Drosophila melanogaster: one gene and its partners. The protein of the gene in region 1 interacts with the protein of each later gene in a biochemical or structural test. Each region holds a gene or a part of one and is shown in the gene's direction. Other genes may lie near its edges.

Region 1 (10,242 bases):
CGGATCTTGCCGGGGAAATGAGTTCCGGCGCCTGGCTGGATGACCTCAGTTTCAGAAAAGACGATACGGATATGGTTAAAACAGCCATTTTTATATATGGCCTAACCATCGAAGAGTCGGGAGCTGCTATCATGAGTTATGGGAGCATCGCTCCCCATCGCGCCAAATAATATTTAAATATTACTTTTCACCAAAGCGCGCCAAATCCTATAAATCAAACGAAAGTCACCGACTGAAAGAGATCTAGATAGAAAAGTTTCGAAGCGCGCAACTTTCGAGCGAAGAACAACAAGAGAGACGCCTCAAATAAATTCGCAAGAATTGAGCAAACTTTAGAGGATTTCGATTTGTTTTCCATGAAAATGGGCAAATGCTAAATGGAAAATGGAAAATTGAAAATGAGAACCTGGCTATGGGTAAAGTCACCTCGTTATGTCCTCCGCCAAACTGGCAGAATCCCTGCGATGCGTTGAGTGCTTGGCTAAGCCGAATCAATGCGATTTTTATGCTAATACAATCAATCGGTCTAATCGAATCAAACGTTTTGACAACCCAACGGCCTCAAATGGAGCGTTTTGGGGCTTGTCCTAGGTTTAGTCTTTTGTCTTCTGTCCCGACGAATAAACTATCTGGGGCACAGCAACAACAAGTACGCAATATGCATAAAACTTTATATGGCATTTAAATCGCTACCGTGCTGGGTTATCACCGCACATTCGCCACCCCTTTTTTTTCCCATAGCATCTGCTCCTCATCTCCATCTCCATCTCCAGCCCCATCCGCATCCCATCATATCCCATCCCATTTGGCTGCTTACTTCGCCTGTTAACTCAAGCGTCACAAATGCCGGAAATCGAATACAATTTGTAATTCTGATGAACAGTTGAGCAAAACTTAAGCATCGTCTGTCCCGCCTGCTGCTGTTATGTTGCTGTTGCTATTGCTATTGCTGTTGCCATTGTATTGTTACTCCCGTAACGCTTGTTACTCCTCCGATGAGTATGACCATGGCCATTGTTGATTCTACTGGTGATTCCGATTCTTATTGTCCTGGCTTTCCTCTTTCCTGCAACTACTTTTGGCATATTTAGCCGGCTTTCACCTTGCTTTCGCCCAGACATTCTTTATCCTCTTGCTACTCCTTAGCTCGAAGCTGAATTTCTATCTGTGTATTTGTATCTGTATCTGTAGCTCTTCGTTTGGCTTGGCTTCCATTTCGTTATCGAGTCCTTGGCAATCGCCATGTAATGCCAAATTGGGCGACATCGTTTAATGCTTTGTTTTTGGTTTCGGCAACGTGGACCAGGGAATGCGATGTGTCTACAGGTTCACTCATCAGTTGGCGCTCTGTTAAATTTCGCACACGTAGCAGCATAAAAATTGACACCGATAATTCGAGTCGCAGTGCCAGTGTGTGTAGTCAGCGGTACGTATTCGCGATATAAACACGCACACGCCCCGAAAACATACATCATGTTGGAAAATTTGTCGGTCTGGCATGGTGGAGGGAAGGGAGTGGGAATGGTAAAGGTGGAGGGGCACAGGATGCGGAATGGAGAGGAAACTCCCATGGAGGGCGATATGTCGCGTCGCTGTTTACACAAACAAAGTTATCAATTTTACACACGACAGTCGCCCCCCATCCACCATCCCGCACCACACATCCACATCCCCATCACCGTTTCCCCAGCACAGCACTTCCCAGCGGAAGGGCTTCCAAAGTGGTTGGGATAAGGCAGGGGAGGGGATGCAGAAGGAGCAGCCAGGTAGGAGCAGCGAATGGCAGCGTTTCCATCAATTCTGTATGCAATCAATGTCCAAATCGAAGACGCAAAGCGACGAAACCCCACAGTCATAACAAATACAGTAGGGATTCCCTATAGCGCACGCCCCTAGAGTGCAATTCAAGCACGAAAGTAGCGTTCTGTTGCATTTCATTTAAAGTTCCTGTCCTCTTAGAACTGGTTGTAAAGTTTGTTCAACACCAACTTCTTTTAGCAATGTTTAAAAACCCATTCGAAACTTTATAGTCTCAAAAAAAAAAAAAAAGAGAATGTCAAAGCAGCTGAGTTATCACTGTTTATCAAAAGAAGACTACACGGAATGGCACTTGTCGTTCCACTCGAGAAGTTTCAGCGAAAGTGATCCTTTCATCGGACTGCTTTGAAATATTGAACTTAACATATTAAAGCATACTTTTCTGGGCAACTGGCAGCGTATCAAAAGTTATCGTGGCCCACAACCGCACTTTAAGCGCCTTACATTCTTGCAACAATTTCTGGTGACTTTCCCCCCTATATATAGTAAACATTTTTCATAATTCTGCACCCCTATTCACCGACAGCCAGCGATGAAAACAGAATTCACTTAGGGCTAAAAGAGATGGATGAGGGGCTGGCAAAATGTCGCCGCTTGTTAAATTTAAGGAATGTTTGGCTTGTTAGTGTAAAATAATATGAGCGACGTGGGTGGTCTATCCCAACTGAGGCGCCCGCTCGTCCTGTTGTCTATTTGATTCGCCAGGATATGCTAAAACAGGAGTAGGTGAGGAAGTCGAAGCACACGACGCGACGAAGAAAGAATTCCACTCAAATTGCATTTATTGGAGAAATATTTATAATAACTTGGAAATTCAATTTCCAAAGAAAATATGCTAAACGGATTTCAGGGGGGTACTGCAGTCGACGAGGGTGTGGAAAAGGCAGAAGGACTTTCCGAGGTGAGGATGCCAGTCTGCATGTGTGTGTGTGTGTATTCCAGTGGCTTGTCTCGTGTCAATGGCTCGTGTGTGTCGCCTGTCTGTGTGCGTGCAGAGAGATATGTTAGAAAATTAAAATCGACCATATGTTGCCTCATCGATTTTGATAAGTCGCCCAACGGCAGCACAGCAACATGAGCAACATGGGGCGCGGCATGAGTAGGGAGCAGCAGTAGCAGCAGCAACAGCACCATGGCCGCTTCATATCCGTTTCCGCTTTGACACAATGGGCGCACAATGCGTGGCACTCGAGTGCTGTGCGAGTGTGTGTGTGGTTGTCTGTTGCTGCCACTGCCACTTTCAATTGCAAAAAGCTGGCTTAAAAAGGCGCCTTGTCATGCATGAGTTTTCCGCCTTCTATTATTGATGTTGTTTTGTGTTTTTGTGTATCATTATTGCTGGTGCTGGTGCTCGCTGCTCCATTGTTGCTCCTTTCTTGTCGCCGGCCGATCTGCTGCTGTCTGCCGTTTGCGTGACACAAATCAAACGTACCCTACTAAATATTTCATAAGCACATTCAGCCACGCACCTCCAATGAACTTTAAGGACATGCAGGAGCAGGTCTTAACCCTCCGACAACCCACCCACGCCTCCTAATATGATACGATGGCTTACCATTCAATTTGGCTTCAATAAATGTTGCCGCAACATGTTGCTGTTGCGCCGGCGCAAGGACACTGCTTCTCCTGGAGATTTGCATATTGTTGGAGGATTCGCTGGAGCAGCTCCGTTCAGTTGTTTACCGCGCCTCAAGCCACACACACGCAACGAGCGCTGACAAACCGGAAACTCGGGGAACTGTGTCCCGTGACCCGTGAACTGCTACCCGTGACTCTGGGAAATCGCTAGCCGTGACTCGTGTTCGGCCTGCTCGGCTGGCTTTCGTATCTCGTATCTCGTATCTGGCGTCTCAATCGGAATCGGAATTGGAATTGGAATCGCGTCATTGGAGTGACTGATTTTGCGAATTGGTGGTGCTGGTGATGGTGCTGGAGTGTGTCGGAGTGTGTGGATGAGTGCTCCTTACGTAGCGTAAGGGCTGTTACGTAAGCCAAGGACCTGCTCGCTCCGCGGAAAAGGACACAAACGCAACGCGCTCGAATGCGTTACGTTGCGCATGAGATGGCGGCACGCAGTTCGCGCTACATTTACTTCGACCACGGCCACCGAATCTAGTCCGCTCATAGGAAAAGGTAGCTCCTCATTTGCGCTAGTCCCTCAGTTCCTCCTCCTTCTTTTTAGCTCCACGTCCCTGTCGAATATAATTAAGTGTATTATCAGAACGTGACCAGAGCGAAATTGCTGCCTGCGGGCGAGGTAAATGCTCCTGCTTTTCCTCATCCGTTGGCCAGAAGCAATTGAATGGACAGCTTAGTGTGTAATGAAGAAATTACCAAAAGCTCGAATCCAACCACCAGCCCCCCTCCACTTCCAGGATCCTTCTAACGACCCAACGGAAGGCACCCCCCATCCCCCTGCCAAACACTCGCAAGGACATCTTCATCTCGTTCTTGTCCTGTGGGCGTCATGGTGATTGAAAACTCGACCGCACTGCGGTCTTGTCATCAGTTTAAATGAATGTGCTGCGGTTTCCGGAGCACCGATAAGACGGAGCCCAGAGCCTAATCCCTTTCAGTTATTGTTTCTGCACAATTGTGGGCTAAAAAGTGGGCGGGGCTGGTGGCGAGTATCCTTCATCTTTAGCTTCATCTTTTGTGTGTTGCCTTTCGAGTCGATTTGAGTCGCTTCGGTTCGGTTCGAGTTGAATTGAGTAGAGTCGAGTTCTCCGCGATTGCCATCATTTATTTTAATTACTTTTCTGTTGTCGCCCTACCCACTTTGCTCCTGCTCTTCGCTGGTGGTCCTTCGTCCTGGCTGCAGTTATAAGTAATTCGAGAGCCCCACAAATTGCGCATGAAATGTTGGTGGAATACTTTATGGCGCTGCTCGTGATCATGGGATTAACCGCTCCAGTCGACAAGCAGAGCCGGCGCAGCAGCCAATACTTCGGTGAGTACGGATTTAAATCTAATCAGACAACACTCAAAGGGTTAAGCCAACCGGGGACTGGGCAGTCGTATCAGAAATGGCATAATAAATGAGAATCGCAGAGCGAATGGTATTGGGAATCGGAATCGGAAGTGGGGAATCGGGAAGCGCGAAGCAATCTAATTAGATTGAGGGATATGGCGGGGATTACAAGGGGTCACTGATCTCGCAGTTGGGGCAGAGGACACACTTTAAATACTCAACTGCTTAAGCGGTTAATGAAATTAAAAAACTAAATTGCTAATACCTTAATTAAAATTACTTTTAGATAGATTAAAGGAGTTAAAGTTAAAGGAGTTCAGATTAAAGGAGTTAAACGAGCACAACGATTATGACTTGAATAAAAGAAATTAACTCTTTTTTTCGCCATATTTGATTTATATTTGATTTATAATTTTTTGTGCAACATAAGCTTAAACGTAAAAAGCATGTTTTATTAAATTTCATACAATTAGTACTTTGTGAATTTGTATTTCCATTTTTTCATATTTCTCAAATCCCTCAACACATATTTGCCTATTAAATTACACTTATGGAAAGTAACTTTTCCGGTTAGTTATTTTTTCACACAGATGTTTTTTTTTTTTTAAGTTGCATACATGGTTTATTCATTTAAATCCTGCAAACTTTTAATGTGGTTTAATGTGGTTCAACACAAAGTTAAATTCCGCTTCGCTTTTTGCAACGGAAGGGAGCAAGCTGCCTAATGGATAACTGATCTCTAAAAGGGGATCCGAATTAGGTAATCTGCACTCGCAGCTGTCAGGAATTGTTTATGATCCCATCTATTTCGCATCTCTCTGCTGCGAGTGAATTTGATGCGGGACCCAGGAGCAGCTGCAATTGCTCATTTGTAATTTATGGCACCTGAACTCAGTTTAGGGCCCGCTTGGGGAACTGCAGCTAGGGATGATGGGGATATGGTGATGAAGGAAGAGCCGGAGGTTGTGGATGTGGATGTTGAGGTCCTGCAGAAGCGTTAGCCATGGCCACTGAAGCTGCGGTTGCGGTTCGACCCGGCAATTTTCCAACTTACCACCCCGCACTTTGTATGTAAATACGCAACTTTTATTAAAAAATTTTATGTTGTTACATATTTCCTGCCGTTGTGCGGGAACGTGTGTGCGAGGGAGTTTTTTTTTTTTATTTTGTGGCCAGCATAAAAAGCAATTTCAGTTCAAGTGCCTTGGCCTGGCCAAAAGCAAAAGCAAAAGCAACAGCCATAGCGAAAGCTAAAGCATCGTCATAGTCATCGGCTGCGGATCAACAGTTTCAATTAAGTGTTAAACGTCATTTTATTGCCTGATATTTGATAGCTAAATTTGCTCAACCACACTCGCACACAATATGGATCCTGGCCTATAAATCAATATGTGTTTATCCACTCCACATCCACATATCCACATAACCAATCGAGTAGTACCCAGTCCCTTCTCCTTCACATCCCACGCACAGCTGTATTTGTGTTTGTATTTGTTTAGGCACTCATGGATTATTAGCGCATTAGTTGGCTAATACATCGCCATTTGGGCGGTGGAGCTGCAGCAACAATAGCGCCAATAGCACCACCACCCACATAAATCACTTGGCCGCCCAGCGATGGATCATAAACGCGGGAATGGCTCCAAAGGGGTGTAGGCTTAAGCTCCGGCATAAATTAAGCACAAATACTCGTTAATCAAATGAATGCTGATTGCCAGCTGAGGCATCCCCGCCAGCTGATTGAGCCAACCAATCGACCATCCATCTGTCCGTTTGTCCGTCCGTCTGTCTGTCCGTCTGCATATCTATCTATTCATCTATCTATCTGCCAGTCTAACTGTCTATCTATCCGACGCTTCCTGTGTTCATCTGCCTGCCTGCCTCCTGGGCTCAGGTCCTGAAATGCACTTGAATACGTTTAGATTGACGTTCAGATACAACTGGTGGAATGAACTACCCAGGGAATATTTAATGGGCAGCTTGAATATCTAGGCCCTTTATGTACTAACAATATATATTGGCATAGATTCTGTTTCCGCGGGGATAAATTTGACGTTTAGAGGGTTATTCATATCCTTGGGTTCTTAAAACTTATTCAACTTATTCAACCTTTTAAATAATTATAATCTGTTTACTGTTTTACAGGCCATCTGGCCGCCGCCGAGGAATTGTCCAACTTGATACCAGATAATTACGATGCCATCGATCCCGTGTTTGACAACACAACAGATCGGGAGGTTATTGCAGCTTTGGGCACCACCGCCCGTCTCCACTGCCGCGTTCGCCACCTGGGCGACAGGGCGGTGTCCTGGATACGACAACGGGATCTCCACATCCTGACCATCGGCATCATGACCTACACGAACGATCAGCGCTTTCTGGCGCGGCACATCGACAACTCCGACGAGTGGGTGCTCAAGATCGTTTCGGTGCAGCAGAGAGATGCGGGCGTCTACGAGTGCCAGGTGTCCACGGAGCCCAAGATCAGTCTGGCCTACAAGCTGGTCGTCGTGAGTAAGTATCTTTCACTAAGAAGAGCTATGAACAAGACACTTGTCACTTTTGAGCAAATGAATATATCCAAAACTATATTTACTGATAATATCCTTGTGTTCATAACGAATCGAAGGGCTTCAAATAATTCTCTGTTGGTATGTACATACCACTAAACATTCCAAATCCATTTGAATCCGCTTAAGTTTGTTCCGAACCCTTTCATGACCCATCATAATTATTCAATCGAAATTCAGCCCCAAGTTCCTGTTTTATTACTCCCATTGAATCTCAATCGATTGGCGGTCTTGTAAGACGTTGCTTACATCTCCGTTTAGACAGCAGCGCAAGGGCGCGAAGGGCTGGGATTACTTTGACAAATTAGTTTATCAAACACCCCAGTACATCACACGACAAACTAGGATGGGGCATGGGAATAGGGATTGAGAAGTTGAGGGGTTGAGGGCTATGGATCCACCCAATAGGCAACTTGTTGACATACCCATTAATCGAAAACGACGCCGCTCTTTGACAGCCTCCAAGGCTCAGATCCTGGCCAACCGCGAGCTGTTCATCCAGAGTGGCAGCGACATCAATCTGACGTGCATCGCACCCCAGGCTCCAGGACCCTACACGCACATGCTGTGGCACAAGGACACGGAGCTGGTAAGCGACTCGGCGCGGGGTGGCATCCGCGTAGAGTCCGAGCAGCAGATGAAGACCAGCAACCTGGTGATATCGCGAGTCCAGCACACGGACTCGGGCAACTACACCTGCTCCGCGGACAACTCGAGTGAGTCCTTTAGAAATGCATGAACTGTTAGATTAAGGACACTAGGTGAATACATATGCGATTAAGGTGTGTGTGTCGAAAATTTAATTTAAATCCAATTAGTCCAAGATGGAACTGACAGTTTTACAACGAAAGTTCGATTTCATTAAATACTTAATTACATTTGAAACACGCCACCAACTGACTCGTATAAAATATTTACACATGCACATGACTATCGAAAAGTAGTTGCACATATAAACATCGTAAATTAACCATCAAATACTGAAAATCAAATTAATTCAATTGCTTACTTATTTATGGGTGTAGTATACATTGTGATCAGTTACAATGTAAAATATACAGATTTCACTTTATCCATAGCTACAAGGCATTAAGTTAATGGTGGCTTATTGCATAAAATAATATTCTATAATTGAGTTTACATATTGAATGCATATAAACTCAATTATGAAATTTTATTCGAAAATAGCAGTGCACATTTATTATTGTTATTTATTCAAGGAGATACAGTTTTTAAAAAATAACTAATGTTATTACAATAGCTAATAATACTCTTGCTAAAGCAGCCATACATTATACATTCAAATAATTGTTTTCACTGCTTTTCGTACAGAGTATGCCAGCTTTAATATTTAAATTCAGCCCTTTAATAAGTAACGACCTAAAATATTTATTTTACAATTTTCTAACCCACCCTTTTGCCACCTTTTCCCAACAGATTCTGACAGCGTCTTTGTGCATATCATTAAAAGTGAGCAGCACGCGGCCATGCAGCACGAGCTGGGCTCGAGGCTGCTCCTGCCCCCTCTGCCCCTGTTGCTCCTGGCGGTCCTGCTGGTCGTCCTGCTGGGCCCCACCTCCAGCCTCCAGATTCGCACCCCGCTCTCAACCCGCTAAGCCGAGCCAAAGACGAGCGGCAACTTATGTTCGATGTCTGGAGCCATGGGAGCCCCGTTATTCCTGGTGGCCGGGTAAGTCGGTGATTTTTAATGCCACCATCAGCTCAGGAGTCGTAGTCATCATCTCGTTACAGGCCACGCCTCCACGTCACAGTAACCGCCCACATTGGAGGAGCCCGGTAGAAATTGCTGGATGCGGAGGTTAACGACGTCGATGTCGCGTTGTCTTGTAAATATGTAAATTGAGTTTTTGTTTACGTTTGTGTTTGTGTTTTGTGGCTCAGTCTCTAAGTATTTTTATACGTAATTAAGTAAATAGGTGGAGAGAGCATATGTGCTGGCTAGGCTATATATAGTCAATCTTGGCTATGTGGCAAATGGGACATATACATTTTGTTCACACACGATCGCATACCTAGAGATACTAAAAACGAGCAATCGAATCCGAATCGAATCGAATCCGTAACGAATGTAAATAAATGTTTAATCTTAATAATAGATAGACGAGATCTAGATTAATTATGATAAATCGGTTGCAATTTAATTTTCTCCACCAATGATTGATGGCGATATGAATGTGAACGAATTCAATTCCGCCTCTGACATCCTGCGACCCGGATTATGCCGCTTAATTGCCGGGGCGATGCGTTGAGGGTTCCAGCGGTAATTGAAATACGATAAGGTCAGGTCGGGTCATCAGTACATACTTTGCTTCACACACTCCGCCCCATTCCACCGGCAACGACATCAAAGACGGAACACTTTCACTTTTTTGGGTGGCGAAGGAAATTGTGAAGGGAAGTGCGACGACAGGTGTGCCTGGAGCAAGGTAATTGAAACATTTGAGGCGTGCATAATTCACACTCCACGCCGGCAATTACATCTGAAGTTCTCGGACAAAGTTTGTGGCCACAATGGGATATCTTGGCAATAAGTACCTGAATGCAGGGACTTCAGTGACAATTCCAAGTGCTTCAAAAGCGCCGACAACACAATGAGTAATGGCTGGGTAAGGAGAAGGACTCGCAAGGATGGAACACGCCGCATAACGCATCTCCTTAATGCCAAGTGTTCGCTGAATTTTGCATAAGGTGGTGGTAATTGAAATAAAAGACGTTCGCAGCCGCTAATGGGTCTGCACGCAAGGACTGCTGGTGGCTCCGGCGCGAAGATGGAACATCTTCGCAACCGCACAGCCTGGAGCCCCCAAAGTAGGCGAGCATCCATCACAATCCGGCGAAAAGGAGAGGGTTTAAAAACGGGGG
Region 2 (7,041 bases), on another chromosome or scaffold:
AATATTTTGCTAATTAGCAAAATATGTGTGAATAATGCATTTGGCAGGGGCGGAGTGGTGAGTGGGGAGTGGGGAGTGTGGGGTGGGGTGTGTACTCCTGCGTCCTGCAGGTGTCATATTAAATTTATGACCAGAGCTGCCCACACAATCAAGAGACACTCGTGCGGATGGAGAAACTGTGACAAGTGCCAGCAGTGGACAGTCTCAACATTTTGGGCATTTCGGTGATTAGTTGTGGGCAAGCAGAAGACTCAGTGCCGGCATAATGAGCAGCACTAATCAATAAATGAATCAGGGATAAGGAGCGAGTAGTCGGCACTCAGAAATATTGAAACATTTTGAAACAGTGGTCGAATTGAAGGGTCTATGATGTGCTAACTAAATGGTTCATATCGACACAAATATGTCGTATCAATAATAACTGATCCCTACTCACCCAATAACTATTGAGTAAGTATTAAAAATGGTCGAAGGACTTAATTCACTTTATATCACTGTCCTGTTCGCCACAAAAAAAAAATTAAATGGCTTTTAATTTCCGATGGCCGGAAGAAACAACTTCACAATTACTGTCGACAATATCAACTGATCCAATCATTGGATTTCAATAGGAGATTGAGTCGTCTAAGTGCGTGTGGGGAATATAAACAATTATAAGAGAGTGCAAATTATGCCTAAAGTGGCAAAGAGAATAAATAAAATTAAGAGTATAAGTATCTCTATATTTATGGGTAGAATTTGGAGAAGACAATTCAATGCCCTTACAAGAACTATATCATATAAGATATAAGTAAAAAGTTTACAGGGTGCAATTACAATGTAGTAATATTTAAGTAAGCGTCCCTATTGATGTCTCTATTTTGGACGCACGATCCGAATAATTTCCGAATATTTCCATATAATTATACACTTTTATAGACTTTTAATTGGCAATTTCCTAAGCCGGTTGGCAACCTTGACGCTTCCTTCTATAACTCAGCCAGAACTTTTGTCTATTAAACGGCGCCGTAAAAGCGAAAATATAGTCATAATTTATGGCAGTTAAGCAGCTAACAAACCATCCTGCAGATCCTCCCCATCGACCCCAACTTCCCCACCACCTTTGCATGTCGAGCCCCCATCAGTGGGAGTGGGCAGATGTCCCGATGTGGTGGGTGGTGGCTCCAGACGCGCAGGTGATTCGTCCGCCGGGTGGCAGGTGAAAGAACTGCAGCTGTCGTCGTCGCATCCAGCGAAAAACGCGGAAGCGAGTGAAAAGCAATTATCAGGTGTCAAAATTTATATTAGGGGCTTGCAAGCTCGTAAAAGGATACCAGCCAGGAAGCAAGGCAAAGGAAACAAAGCAAGAAACTTGAAAACAAGTTGCTAGTCCTCCCAGTCCCTATATACTGAGAGAAAATAGTTCAAATAGTTGAATAGTCAAATTTATAAATCCATCGTTGAACATAACGTAATATTTCATTAAAGTGTATTTGTTCTTGAATAATTCTAATATGTAATCTCTTTGATTTTAATTTAAAATAATCAACTTTCTTTCTTCGAGTGTAGAGCTAACCCTTTTGGTAAAAATGATTTGTGGCTCCAGTGCATTGGCACGCAATGAAAAGTTTTCGATGGAGAAATGGAGCGGGATAGATAGTTCCTTCCAGGGACGCTTTATAAATCCTTTTTATACGTCATAAAATCTGTTATTGGTGGGTTTCTACTGTTTCCATCGCTATTATTTATTGGTCGTGTGCGTGTGTTGTGCGAAATTATATGCCTGTTATAAAGACGCGATAGGGAAAGGGGGCGGGAGTTGATTAGCTCCCGAAATATATATATATATATATAAGTATATATGAGCAATTTAGAGTTGCAGAGGGCGGTGGCCAGGTCAAAACGGTGCCTGACACAATGTGGCACGGTTATTGAAAAGCGACTGGCTGGTGTGCGTGTGTGGGTGGGTGACTTTCCTGCCTCGCTTGTTGCACTTGCCACACATAATGGAAATCTCCAAAGAAAAGTTTCACCAAGCAGAAGAAATTTAATTAAATAATGTATCATAGCGAACGGACTTTGAAGCATTTTTGAATCGATCGCAGTCAATTTTTAGTTGCATATTTCAAAGTATTGGGGGCACTAATATATTTAATAACAATCAAAACTGACTCGGAACGATGCAGGCGAATTTTATTAAATAATATTTCATGCTGAACGACTTTGTTATATCGTTTTATATAAATAAGACGGCCTAGTAAAGCACTAATTTAATTTTAAAAATTTTATTTCAATTCTTAGTTGGAAAGAACTTTGTTTCTGCATATATACTACAAATTATATCGTTAGAAAATTTTTGTTTGAGAATTTCAAACAGATTTCAGTTAGATGTAAGATTGGCCTTAGTTACGTCTTTAAATTTATGGAAACTATTTCTTGCGAACCATTGAAACATTGTTTTTTATCAATACATACTTAAATTTAAAGCATAATTTTCTGATAATGATTGATTTATATTAAATGAATCCCGTAAAAGAGATCCAAAATAGAAGACAGCGAAAGATCATCTTGCAGATGGCTTCCATTCCATTTTCTTCTACCTACAAGTCAAAATATATAGTATTTTCCTATGGCAATAATCTGTTGTACTTATTGCAGTTGTCAGAATTGCAAGTGATAATTCCCTCTCTCATATTCAAGCGCCACGACCAATGACAATTCATTTCTTCATCTCACACAGTTACTTACTATCAGCACCCCCTCTCACCATCACCATCCCTTCACCCAACCCAAAAAGGGTTAACCCTTTCCTTTGCCACAGATTTCATTCATAAATGCGAGCCACCAGTTTCACGCGCCCAAAAGTATGGCGAGAGAATTTCCCAGGCTTTCAATGCCATTCAATTCGTATTCAACCGAGCCGAGAGCGCGCCCCCCATTGGGCAGCACACGCACACACACACGCGCAGAGCATGTTAGGAAAAAAGAAGCACCACGAAGTGAAAAGCGCCCGCCAACAAAAAGCAAAATAAAATGTGGCCCAGCAACAACAAAAATCACAGTTGTCTGATTCGTTCGCGAGGCCGCTGCCCACCCCCCGGGCGCCCACTAAAAAACACCACCCACCCACTGGGGCGCCCACACTCCCCCCAAAACCCCCCAAAACGACGACGATTCGCCAAAGGAGCATCTTCGGCATCGCTCGGCAGTCGCTGGGAGTCGTTCCACGCGACTTTGGTGGCCCTCGGAAATGCTGGCTTCAGTACATCGACGGCGCTCGGTTCGTGCGGTTGGCCTTTAGTCCTTCGAATCCTGCTGCATACAAGCAAGCAGAATCCCTAACGGAATCGCGTGTGTTTTTTGCCGCCAAGTGTTGCATTCGTGCTGCAAGTGAATCGAAGTGATGCTGTAGACGCCATGAGTGACTTGTGCTGAGCGAATTTCTCGACAGGATTTAAAAAAAAAAAAATCAGGACAGCTCAGCCGCAGGACATGTGCAATTTGGAGTTTCACGAAAAATACAAGATTGCCAAGAAAATGCTCTGAAAAAGGTTGTTATGCTGCAGCTATTAAGTTAAATGCGAACTTCCATTAAAATCTGCATGCAAGACTATTGAAAGAAAGCAAGGAATCCTTTTTCTAATCGCTGGCTGTGATTGCGGCCAGTGAAGGCATTCGAAAATAGTTTGGCAGCGATTTCGGCCAGGTCAAATCGACAACAAGTAGAATTCGCTCGCGTGTTGAGTCGCGCGCGTTTTTAGCCGCTTGTTGGCAATTTAGCCGCGATTTTGGCGACATTTGCCGTCAGCTGCGTGTTTGCTGTAATTATATTTAAAGTAAAAACAAAGCCCGAGTTATTTATGAAGCAACAACAATCGGGCCACCCTCGGCGGTCAATGCTCGTCACATGATTTGCCATTCCAGCTGCATGCGTGTCTGTGTGTGTGTGTGTGTGTATCGTGAAATTTGCCTACAAATGTGAATGTGTCTGGCGCGCCACTCGACGCTGTTTATTACGAGTGTCCCCGTATGGCAGGAGTGCACTGTTTAGGCCACATGGGCAACAATTGCATATTTTATGTTTCACGGCTGCCCGAGTGTAATTTAAAGTTCATTGATATCCATAAAGCGCAGGACAAACCCTCGACGCTTCATGCCAATTTGCTGTCTAGCTGGCTAGCCATTTGTTGCAAATATGTTGCAGCGCTTTTGGGACGAACCGGAAATAATATGTGTACAGTGTACACTGTACAACCCACATTCGGTGGTTTTCCCCCGGGGTGGCATGATGGTGCCTGTTTTCGATTTATGGCGTTTCTCTATCATTTGCATTTTACATATAATTTCTGATCAGTTGTTATCTGCTCGATTGTGATTTCAGTTGGCGCCCACAGCCGAATGTGCACTGTCTACTGACGCTCCAGGTGGGGCCGAGTGGTATACATATATGTATATTATGGAAATTAAAACATGTTGACTCAAGATTGAAAACCCTGTTGTTCTGCTGCGAAATCGTAATCCCCTTAATCCGAATTCCCCCGCCTGCTCCGGTATCAATTGCATAAGAAGAATTCCAATTGCCCCCGGAGCGATAACGAAATGGTTGGCAAGGCCTCGTCGTTCAGTCGGCTTGACATAATGGCCGGCATGTGAGGAGTTGGATTTTTCCTGCCATTGTTGTTGCTGTTGTTAATAACAAGCGATAATAATCAACTTCCGTGCTGGAAAGCGAGCGGAGGAGAAAATTGTGAAAAACCGAGCGAAACTCTGATTTCTAGAAGGCGCTGCCAGCCTGAACACTATGAGTTATGCAAATTTTATGCAAGGTCCGGTTAACTGGGCTGCCCTTTTCTGGGCCGGATTAAAAAAAATTTAAAAAGCTAGACGGCGAATAATTCTGAAAAATGTCGAAGTGGCATCGCGATAGAGCGGGATATTTATCACGTGTTAATTAATGTTTGCGCTGGAAATTGAATTTAAAGTATAGCTCGAGAAGTCTGGTAGTAGTAGCGAATGACATTTCAGTTGAAGCTTCTACATGTCAGCATTATTGTTTTAAAGGGAAAAATGCAAAAGGTGCTTCAAGCAAACTGTCGGGGGGGTTACTGAAAATTTGCCATAATTCAGCAGCTGATTATACACATTGAAGCGTTGGAGAAAAAGGGACCGTGCATGTCCGAAACCATAAAAATAATATATGGCTTGAACACTACAAAGGTGCCATGAGCACCTCTTATTATTTGTCATAAATATTTTCTTTTTTTGCTTTTTCATAAGTTGTACTTAAAGCTGGTAACAAAATAAGTACAGGAAAAGGATTTAGAAACATCCAAATTGAAATAAATTACACATTTGCTTGGAAAATTGCTTGTGGTCAATTTAGGCATTCATCACATTGCTCGATTGAATTTTCGCTTTGTTTAAATACTTTCCATTATTTATTACAAAATATTTTCAATTTTATATAATTACAGAAGAATGTGAAACACAATATATATTATATATGCTTGAATGAATGAAGATATTTTGTCAGTGTAGGCTGTTGTGCCAATTTAGAAAAGCAAAACTTTTAACTCGTGATAATTAATAAACATCAGTGATCTACATCGCCATCAATATCCAATGGCACCAAACATCCAAGAGCTGCCCACCAGAAGCGGGAAGGTACTTTCGACACAATCGCCTCGATATGGCTTCGGATTGTGGTCAGGCCGTGGGCCTGAAGCCTGAAGCCATCACCTGTCCCTGACTCCGAGTCCGACTCCTGACGTGGCCCGCATGCTCTAAATTATTAATAATATTGCCAGGCCCATTTGCTAGACATTTTTAGTGCCTACCGCCGTTCCAGGCCAACCGCCACCCCCTCCCTGTAACCATTTGCAGTGCTGTCGTTTGCCTGTTGTCTTTTGTAGTCTACTTTTCTGGGCATGCAATGCGGATTTAAATGTGTGAGTGTATGGGTGTGTGTGTGTATGTGTGTATGACAAAGGACACATAGCACACATGCCGGCAACTTTGCTTTCAATTCCGCTAAATTATGAAAAAATCAATACGAACTCGAAGGGAGGGGACAAGGAATTTTAATGAAATGTCAGTTTAAAATGGTTCCTGTCAGTTTGCGGCCGCCAGAAAGTAGACTTTTATTTTTCCAAAACCCGAAATCGTTTGCATGTTCAGGCTCATGGCCGAGTCAGCTGGAAAGTTAATCAAGGTTCCCCAATCATAAGGGCGGACTTTCGAACATATTGATATCTGCGTCTGGCAGCAGGCACCCTTCTATTATTGCCCCCGAACTAGTTTTAAGTGTTCCGTAAAAATAGTTTGAACAGAAATATAGGGTTCAACCTCAGCTTATCAATAGTAATTTAAGTAATCGACAGAACTTGACCAGCGAATCTTAGCGAGTAACCGGGCCCATAGTGATAGTAACTTTTATTAGATATTTTAGATACTTTTGTTTTTTTTTTTACACAAAATAATTCCCTGTTAACTATAAATTTCCGTTAAATAAAGATCTTAATGGTAGTTCTAATGTATTTTTATGCATTTTTGTAGACAACAGCAATTTAACTATCAATTCAAACGACAATTATCGGTTGGAGACTCTTAACTATAGACCTAGCAAATGGTTTTGACCAATCCAATAACTATTTGAAAAGCTCATGTGATGCATGCTCATGGGCCAATAAACAATTATCGCAAAAGTCTGATTACAACTGCATTGGGTAACATTTGCCGGCAAAAGTTGTGTCATTCATGTCACCTGGGCAGGCTTCTAAAATGGAAAAGGTGAACCGAACTTAACTCCGGCATAAGCCTAACTATTTCAGACCCATCAGAAGTCCGTAAAGATGCACGATTTGATGCTTTATTTACGAGTTCACAACGTTGCGGCTGCCAACGAAACATTTCATTTCCGTTCCGTAAACAGGTTTGCCCACCGGCCACGTTTAAGAGCCGTGAAACAAAACGGAGAACGAGTCTAAAATGAAATGAGCAGAGAGGCAGAGCATGCAACACCTTTTCCAAAAGATAGTTGCAGGTTGGTAGTTAATTTCTGGC
Region 3 (7,152 bases), on another chromosome or scaffold:
AATGGAGTAATCTTCTTTTTTTCATTTTAAAGGTTTAACCAAAAATGTAGAGATTTTTCGGTCTACTGGCACAATCCGCACTCCAGAAGATTCCATGTTGCATGCAGCCTTTGCTGGAGGCCTCATAATTGGTTTTCACTGCAGTCGGGTGCCAAAAACAGGAGCTGAGCCAGCAGCCAAACAGTCAACAGCGTGGGCATCAGCAAAATTAACTGCAGTCAGGTGGGTATCCTTGGACAAAGCTCCGCTCAATTGGTGAGGAGGAAGCTGCTGTTGTTGTGGCTATTGCATCCACCGCGTGATGCCAGCTAATGAAAATGACCGCCACAGATGACTGTGCTATTATGGCTAGAGCGGGGAATGGCGAATCAAAAATGGAAAGGTCCTGGGCTTACTTTCGCTCATCAATAAGCTCCATTACGTATACGCCGGGTTGGTTTCGCCCATTGCTCAGCCGACAAACAAACTCAGAGCTGTCTGTCAACCAAGTAAGGGGCTGCATTCGACCTCTGCCAATTGAGCGTTTGCGAATTTGTTTGCGCCATGGACCCCAGCATCTCAGTGCAATCAGGCGGAATATATCCCGCTTTGAGCTGGCTGCTTTTGGAATGATAGAAAGTGTTGCCTTCAAGGGAGCCTCAGTTCCTTTCTCTGCATCGTGAATTCTTTTTTCCAGCCCCCTGCTTTGCATACGCGCCACCCACTGGGCTCTTTGGTGGCCTTATTAAGTTGGCGCCTCTATGCAACTGCCATCAGCCGGGAAAGTTTTTCGCATACCTTCGATGGTCTCGGTCCTTTTTATACGCGGTATATTACCCAGTTAGCTGAATATTCTTGAGTTATATACGAAAATAATAAGAAGCAAACATGATTTATCTCAGATATTTCTGGATGTATTGTCTCAATGCGTTACTGCTGTATTTTTTTGCACTTCAACTACAATTATTTTGATATCACTTTCATACAAGCAAGTAAGACTCATTCTGATTTGTTTAGCCAATTGGGTCGATTGAGCAGGGTAACTTTTGATCGACTCCAGTTGAAAGCTCTTCTACATATTTTCACTCGCTCCAGTTTGTTGGGGTTGTCATCGTTGCAACTTCATTGTCAAAGTTGGCAAAGAGTCTTGAAGGGAAAGTTGGAGTGGGAAACTACAAAGAAATGCACAAAAACTGCGTTGTGCAAATACGGAGAACGAGAGTGGCGAAAAACGATGCAACGGTCTGCCAGTTGGGCGCTAATTATATGTAAATAGCTGGAATGAAACCGCCGCTCGAGGTGCCAGATAATTGGCCCTCATGCAACTGCCAAGTATAGTTTACAGCCGAAGTGATCAAGGGAAACAGTCTGCGAAGGAAAAATGCTCAAATTGTCGAGGCGTGAAGGACGACTCTTCTTTACGGTAAAGCTTTTGGCATGACCCCTTAGGAAGAATTAGAGAAATTTAAATGTGGCTACTTTGAGTGCCAAGGACTGTGCCCTAACTTGTTACTTAACGTGTCCTAGGCAATGACTGTTAGCTTAATTTACGGAAACTTAAATGGTACGCAATGCAATAGCAATTAGCTCAAATGCTAGATGAAATTCCTTTGCATTTAGGTCATTAGAGAAGAAAAATTTCATAACACTTCTCGGTGTGCGTGAGAAGGCATTTTCCCCCTTGGCCACTTCTTCTCCCCGGAGACAACATTCAGGACATAGAACAGCATTACAAAATTTCCCCAAAAAATTCGTAGAAATGCCAAAATAAACGAGTGGGATCGCTGGAATGAGATGGCGCAAGGTAAGGATGTGGAGGATGCTACCCACATGAGCGACAGTAACCAACACGTACAAAACGCATAAACATTCTTGCCTAAGTGAGTTTGTACATAAATTTCGAGCAACTTGCGTTGCAGGATGCGTTACAAGGAGACGATTTTGTGTGGGTCTCAGGATCTGTTTAAAGGGAATGAAGGGGGAGACTGTAGCAGTCTACTGTGAGTAGAGCTAAACTTACGCAAAAATCCATGGGAAACCAAGTGAGTTTTGAAGTTTAGACGGTTGGCTCAGTTTCGGTATCCTAATTTATTTATGCAGCCCCTGGCAAATGCAACTTTACTTAGGATGGATATCACTCAGCTATTCATCGTGTTAGCGTCAGTGCTTATTCGAAGGTATTCAGATGCAATTGTTTTATGTTCGAAAAATATCTTAACACTAAAAAATTTGTGCTACTAGCGTTTACTTTTCACCTTTGAATTTAGAAGAAAGCTAAGAATTTATGAAGATTTCCTACCAAATAACTAAATAGCATTTATTATTTTTATGACATCAAATTTTTAACTACCCAACTATTTAATACCAATTACCGACTACTGGTGTGTGCAACTTGAAAGCTGGAATTGAAATTATTCAACGAATCATGGCAATATCATTGGCTGTTTGCATTATGCAAGCATACCCGGTCCTTTGATGCTTGATGGCATTTCCCGAGCACCTACACACACGCAGCCGGAAAAGAAGCAACTTTAGTAGCATATTTCACGGCGCTGCGTCCGAAGAGAGAACGCTCTAAAGAGCACCGCTTGCCGAAGAGAGAAGCCTTGGGTAAGAGAGACCGAAGCGCACATTACTGACCTACATTAAGTAAAAATTTATTTATGCCGGCTGCCAAATTGGTTCCCCAAAGCATTGGCAGGCCCCGCTGTCCCCTGGTCCCTGGCTTTATGACTATGACGGATATGATTGTTGGTCGGAGTTTCCCTTTCCCCTCCTCGTACTTGCCCACTATTACTGCCTTTGTGGTTGTTGGCTTAAATAATAATGGCTTGTAATTTGCATAAATAATGTTTGATTTTTGCATTGATGAGGGAAGAGTGTGTTCCGCGTGTGTGTGTGTATTTGGGGAATTTTAAATGATTGAAAGCTCGGTCATCATTGGGGAATGCCGGGCTAGATGGCACGAAATTTTTGCATTTAAATCGATAAATTAGTGGAAAGAGCTCTAAAAATCAGTATGCCAGGATATGAGTCGTTTGGTCTATTTGGAAGTTGCATTGTAGATTTAAGCCCACCAAATAGGAAGAATAGTTTGCTGCTATAAGGGTCGACTTCGATGCCCCAACAATGGTTTCTTATCCTGCCACAGCACTGTTAACCAGCTAACAGAGCTCTGGCTCTGTTGCTCTCTAACGGGACCTGGTTCTCTTTGCCTTTGGAGTTCGGCTCGCTTCGGCAAGTTCGCGAGTGCTTGCCGAACTCCACGAACTCCGAGCCGAAGAGCGCTCGGTAGTCGACAGTCGTGACGAATGACGGCGATTATCGCCCTTCGAGGACTTTGTGTAATCAGTGCGTCCTGCTAAGCAAATTAGTTTAGTATGGTTTTAGTGCGCAACGCTGACGGTCGCACCAGTTCGCAGCTCTTAACACGTTGGTGTCGAAAGTCGACGCGCTCGCGTTTCGTCCCTCGCTTGAATTGAATGCCGCGAGTCGCGAGTGCCTGCGATATCATCGGAGGACAATAGCTCAGCACTGTACGTAAGCGGAAGGAATGGCCAGAATTAAATAAATAAATAAGTGCAAGACACAACCGGAGACGCTGGCTGCCAACTTCAATTTGGTACTTCATTTTTCACAGCCCGCTTAACGCAAATTGTGCCGGTCCTGGCTCCTTGCTGGGTACTAAGGTCCTGGTGCATACCCGTGCATTCTCCGCTCCCCTCCCCTGTTGATTGCATTCTTGGCGGCAAGTCGAGCGTGGCTCATTAAATGGCTGGCGAAAAAAAATGAAAGAGGAGTGCCGACTTGCGGAAAAACAATCACAGCATTTCTCTCGGCTGGTAGAGCCTGCAAACGGCATTTATAGAAGGGCCCTAGCGGCGCTGGGAAATTGTGGTATTTTATTCGTTATTTCACTTTGACTGTCACGCCAATTGAATTAATTCCACCGAGGAATTTAGGATTTAATTTGACATTTAATTATTGCAATTAAAAGTGGCCCGCAAAGCGCAGCATCAACAAAAAATGTCGTTTCAAAACAGGATTATGATCAAACAGAACGCAACGAAATTATGAAATTTTGTTTGAAAAAAAATGAATTACTTTCGAAAGTGGTTGACAACATAAAGCCGTGTCACATTACAGCAGCGGTTTGTTATAAAACGCGTAATAAATCTAAGAAAAAAGGAAAAAAGCTTTTATATTGATGAAAGGAAAACTTAAACAACAGGGTCAGAAAAACAATTATTGTATACAATAAAGGTTAACATTAATGGCAAAAGGATACATATATATATATATTTATATATATATATTTGGTTTTTATGCCTTAATAACTTGTTAGCTCTGCCCAATTCTATGATTTGAAACCCCTAGGATATTTTGTCTTTGTATTTTGTATATTAGTATCCTAAAATATCCTTCTCGTTATCAACATAAACAAAATAGCGATTTATTATTATTACAATTCCTTTGACTTCTAGCATTGCCATTGCTAGCTAAAAATATTCAAGCCTGAATGATGTGCTTAACAAATTAAGTTCCATGCAACATGATTTCTTAAGCAACGTTTATCCTTTATTATATGCATTCACTACTTTCGTATATACACATATAATTCAGAAAAGTTTGCGAAACGTCGAATACTTGGTATCAGCAAACTTTTTTGATAACTTTACTTCACTTGTAGCCCGAAAACAGTTTGAAGTGCAGGACGAAAATCACCCAAGGACGAGCTTTAACTAAATTATTGGGAGCTCGCGTCAAGTGTCAGACTTTGGGGGGGAAAATGGAATAACAGTTTGCCTTTGTTGTGTCTACAAATTTGTGGGGCGCTGTTCGTCAGCGCTAATGAATAGGTGGGGAGTTTTGTGCACAATTATCAAATAAAACGGGTAGCCGACCGCACAATTACACACAATATTTTCGCACACGCACCCAAAACGGAAGCCGTATAAACAACATGAATATGAAATTTAGCTGCTAGAAGCATATACATGCACATACATACTATAGATGCACAGCTCGTTGTGGATGGCCGTCCAATAAGCGACATAAAATATGCGAGCACTCACACACACTAGCGCACGCGAGCGAACACTAACACATGCATATGCACATGCGGATGAAGCGCCCGCAGCGAGTGCGGGAAATATTTTATGCACTTTATGCGGCCTGGACGGCGCTTGCTGCTGGGGATCGCTAATTAGGCAATATGCACTTGATTGTGTTATAATCATTAAAACCGGAAATGCATGGCCAACCCACAAAACACAAACGAGCGCAAACGCTTGGCCACACACACACGCGCACACATACGAATATGCGTGAATGCTTTCAGGTGGCTGCAATAGTTCACAGCATACTTTCGCACAGGGCCAAAAAGTGTTTTACCAAAGTTTCGAAATTTCATCACAAGAGTAAATGGGGTCGGTCTCACCATCCTGTCCGATTTTGTTAGTTTCCCATTTCACTCTGATTAATTATTTGGTGAAAAATAATTAAGTCTTTGAGGGGCTGGCAAGGCGTCGGAAAAGCAGCTCGTTCTCCCACAAAATGACGGAAAGTCACATCAATGGCTCGGCGGAAACGGAAGTGCGGGAAAGCAAACACGTGTCGGAAAAATGTCTGCTTGCAACAATGTGTGCTCGTACAAGTATATGTGTGCCAATGCACTTCCGCACACCCACACACCCGCACAGCAGGCGCCCATGTTGCATATGTAAAGCGGCTTGTAAGCTGGCCAATTTTTTATGCATTTATGCATTTTCCCCCGCTGCAGCTGCATCCCGTCCCCCGCTGACCGTTTTTTTTATTAAAGTTGCCCGTTAAGAAAAGCCCAGAAACCGCAGCAACAAACAGGAACGCCCACTGTGCGAACTGCATCGCACGTCCAAACGCCTTTTTGTAGGTTAATCAAATGCAAGACGGGGAAAATGCACAAGCTGCATGTCAGTGGGAAATGCTGCTTGTGGCTAGTTAGTGTGAGCGGGCGTTGGAGCAAGCATTTTGCCATCTTTTTGTGTACGCATTTCGCATGGCTTGTTATATTAAAAGAAATTTCCCAGCTGAGAAGAGACAAGGCAAGGAAAAACAAGCAAGCATCATGGCAACTGACAGCCAAGATGGACGGCTCTGTGATTTGATTTTTATTTCGAGCGATGCACAACAGCAGCTGGCAGTCAGTGGACAGATGAATTATGGCAAATGATGTAAACGCTCCCAGTGGATGTGGCTCTAATTAAACCGAGGGCCAAGAAGCACTCATAGCCCAAGTACTCATTTTCTCCTTTTACAATAGATAAATGACGTTTCGCAATTTCTCAAAAGTTTCGACTACCCTTGCTGGTTGCCTAAAACCAGAAAAAAATATTTCCTTTACTTGCATATTTATTGATTTTCAAGCCACAAGAATTTTTCGTAACGAATAGCTGTAAGTCTTCATAATAGGATGACCAAGAAATGTCGCGTCGAAAAGATAAATATTCCAATTCATCTGCAATCCGAGCAGATTTTGATTGGCACCAAACGCTATAAAAGTTTAAGCTTAATTTAATACATTTTCTGCATATTACCAGCGACAGTCACCAAGCTGCAAAAAAAAAGGAAAAGCACAAAATCCCCACCACCATTTCAGGTGACATAAACAAGCCTTTTATTTGGCATTCTGCTGCAGTTTTTGACACGCGAAAGTAGCAAAACGCTTTCAAAAAGAGAATGTCAAATAAAACACGGAAAGAATGCGGATAAGAGGAAAATTCACAAAGAAAAGAAATTGAGGAAAATATGGATGCAGACGGAACTGAGCGAAAAACTAGCTTTGGGTATATGTATATTAAGCACGAAAAGCTGTCACTCGCGATTGTCTCGACTATTGGATACCTACTTTTTTGTTAGCTTATTGGCGAATAACTTATTAATTCTTATGCGTTTCACAAGTAGCATAAGTACAATAGCAATACTAAACTGGATTTTCCTGTCTCAGTGCTGGCAAAGCTTAATATGATGGGTATGCTTAAATATGCATTGCAAAAATGTAAGCTGCTTTCATTATACCTTTTATACCCTTTGCACAATATACCCCACTCTTTACGATTGGCGGGCACAAAAATGCAGAGTCCAGAGGGAGATATCATTTATTATTTCATTTCCGAAGCAAGACAGCGCAAAAGC

Evidence for each region. The genes of interacting proteins can lie anywhere in the genome.
Region 2: the proteins of dpr5 (region 1) and DIP-eta form a complex in vitro, tested with the Drosophila melanogaster proteins (one study listed by BioGRID).
Region 3: the proteins of dpr5 (region 1) and DIP-theta form a complex in vitro, tested with the Drosophila melanogaster proteins (one study listed by BioGRID).

The regions. Positions count from the first base shown.
Region 1 is NT_033777.3:11,496,478-11,506,719, forward strand, and holds dpr5 (defective proboscis extension response 5), read left to right. Parts: upstream 1-3,506; 5' UTR 3,507-3,875; coding exon 3,876-3,951; intron 3,952-4,592; exon of another isoform or gene 4,593-4,639; coding exon 4,640-4,768; intron 4,769-6,934; coding exon 6,935-7,303; intron 7,304-7,817; coding exon 7,818-8,075; intron 8,076-8,796; coding exon 8,797-8,975; 3' UTR 8,976-9,049; intron 9,050-9,111; 3' UTR 9,112-9,474; downstream 9,475-10,242.
Region 2 is NT_033779.5:5,614,144-5,621,184, reverse strand, and holds the start of DIP-eta (Dpr-interacting protein eta), read left to right. Parts: upstream 1-3,238; 5' UTR 3,239-3,530; intron 3,531-5,523; exon of another isoform or gene 5,524-5,955; intron 5,956-7,041.
Region 3 is NT_033779.5:5,654,758-5,661,909, reverse strand, and holds the start of DIP-theta (Dpr-interacting protein theta), read left to right. Parts: upstream 1-3,349; 5' UTR 3,350-3,515; intron 3,516-7,152.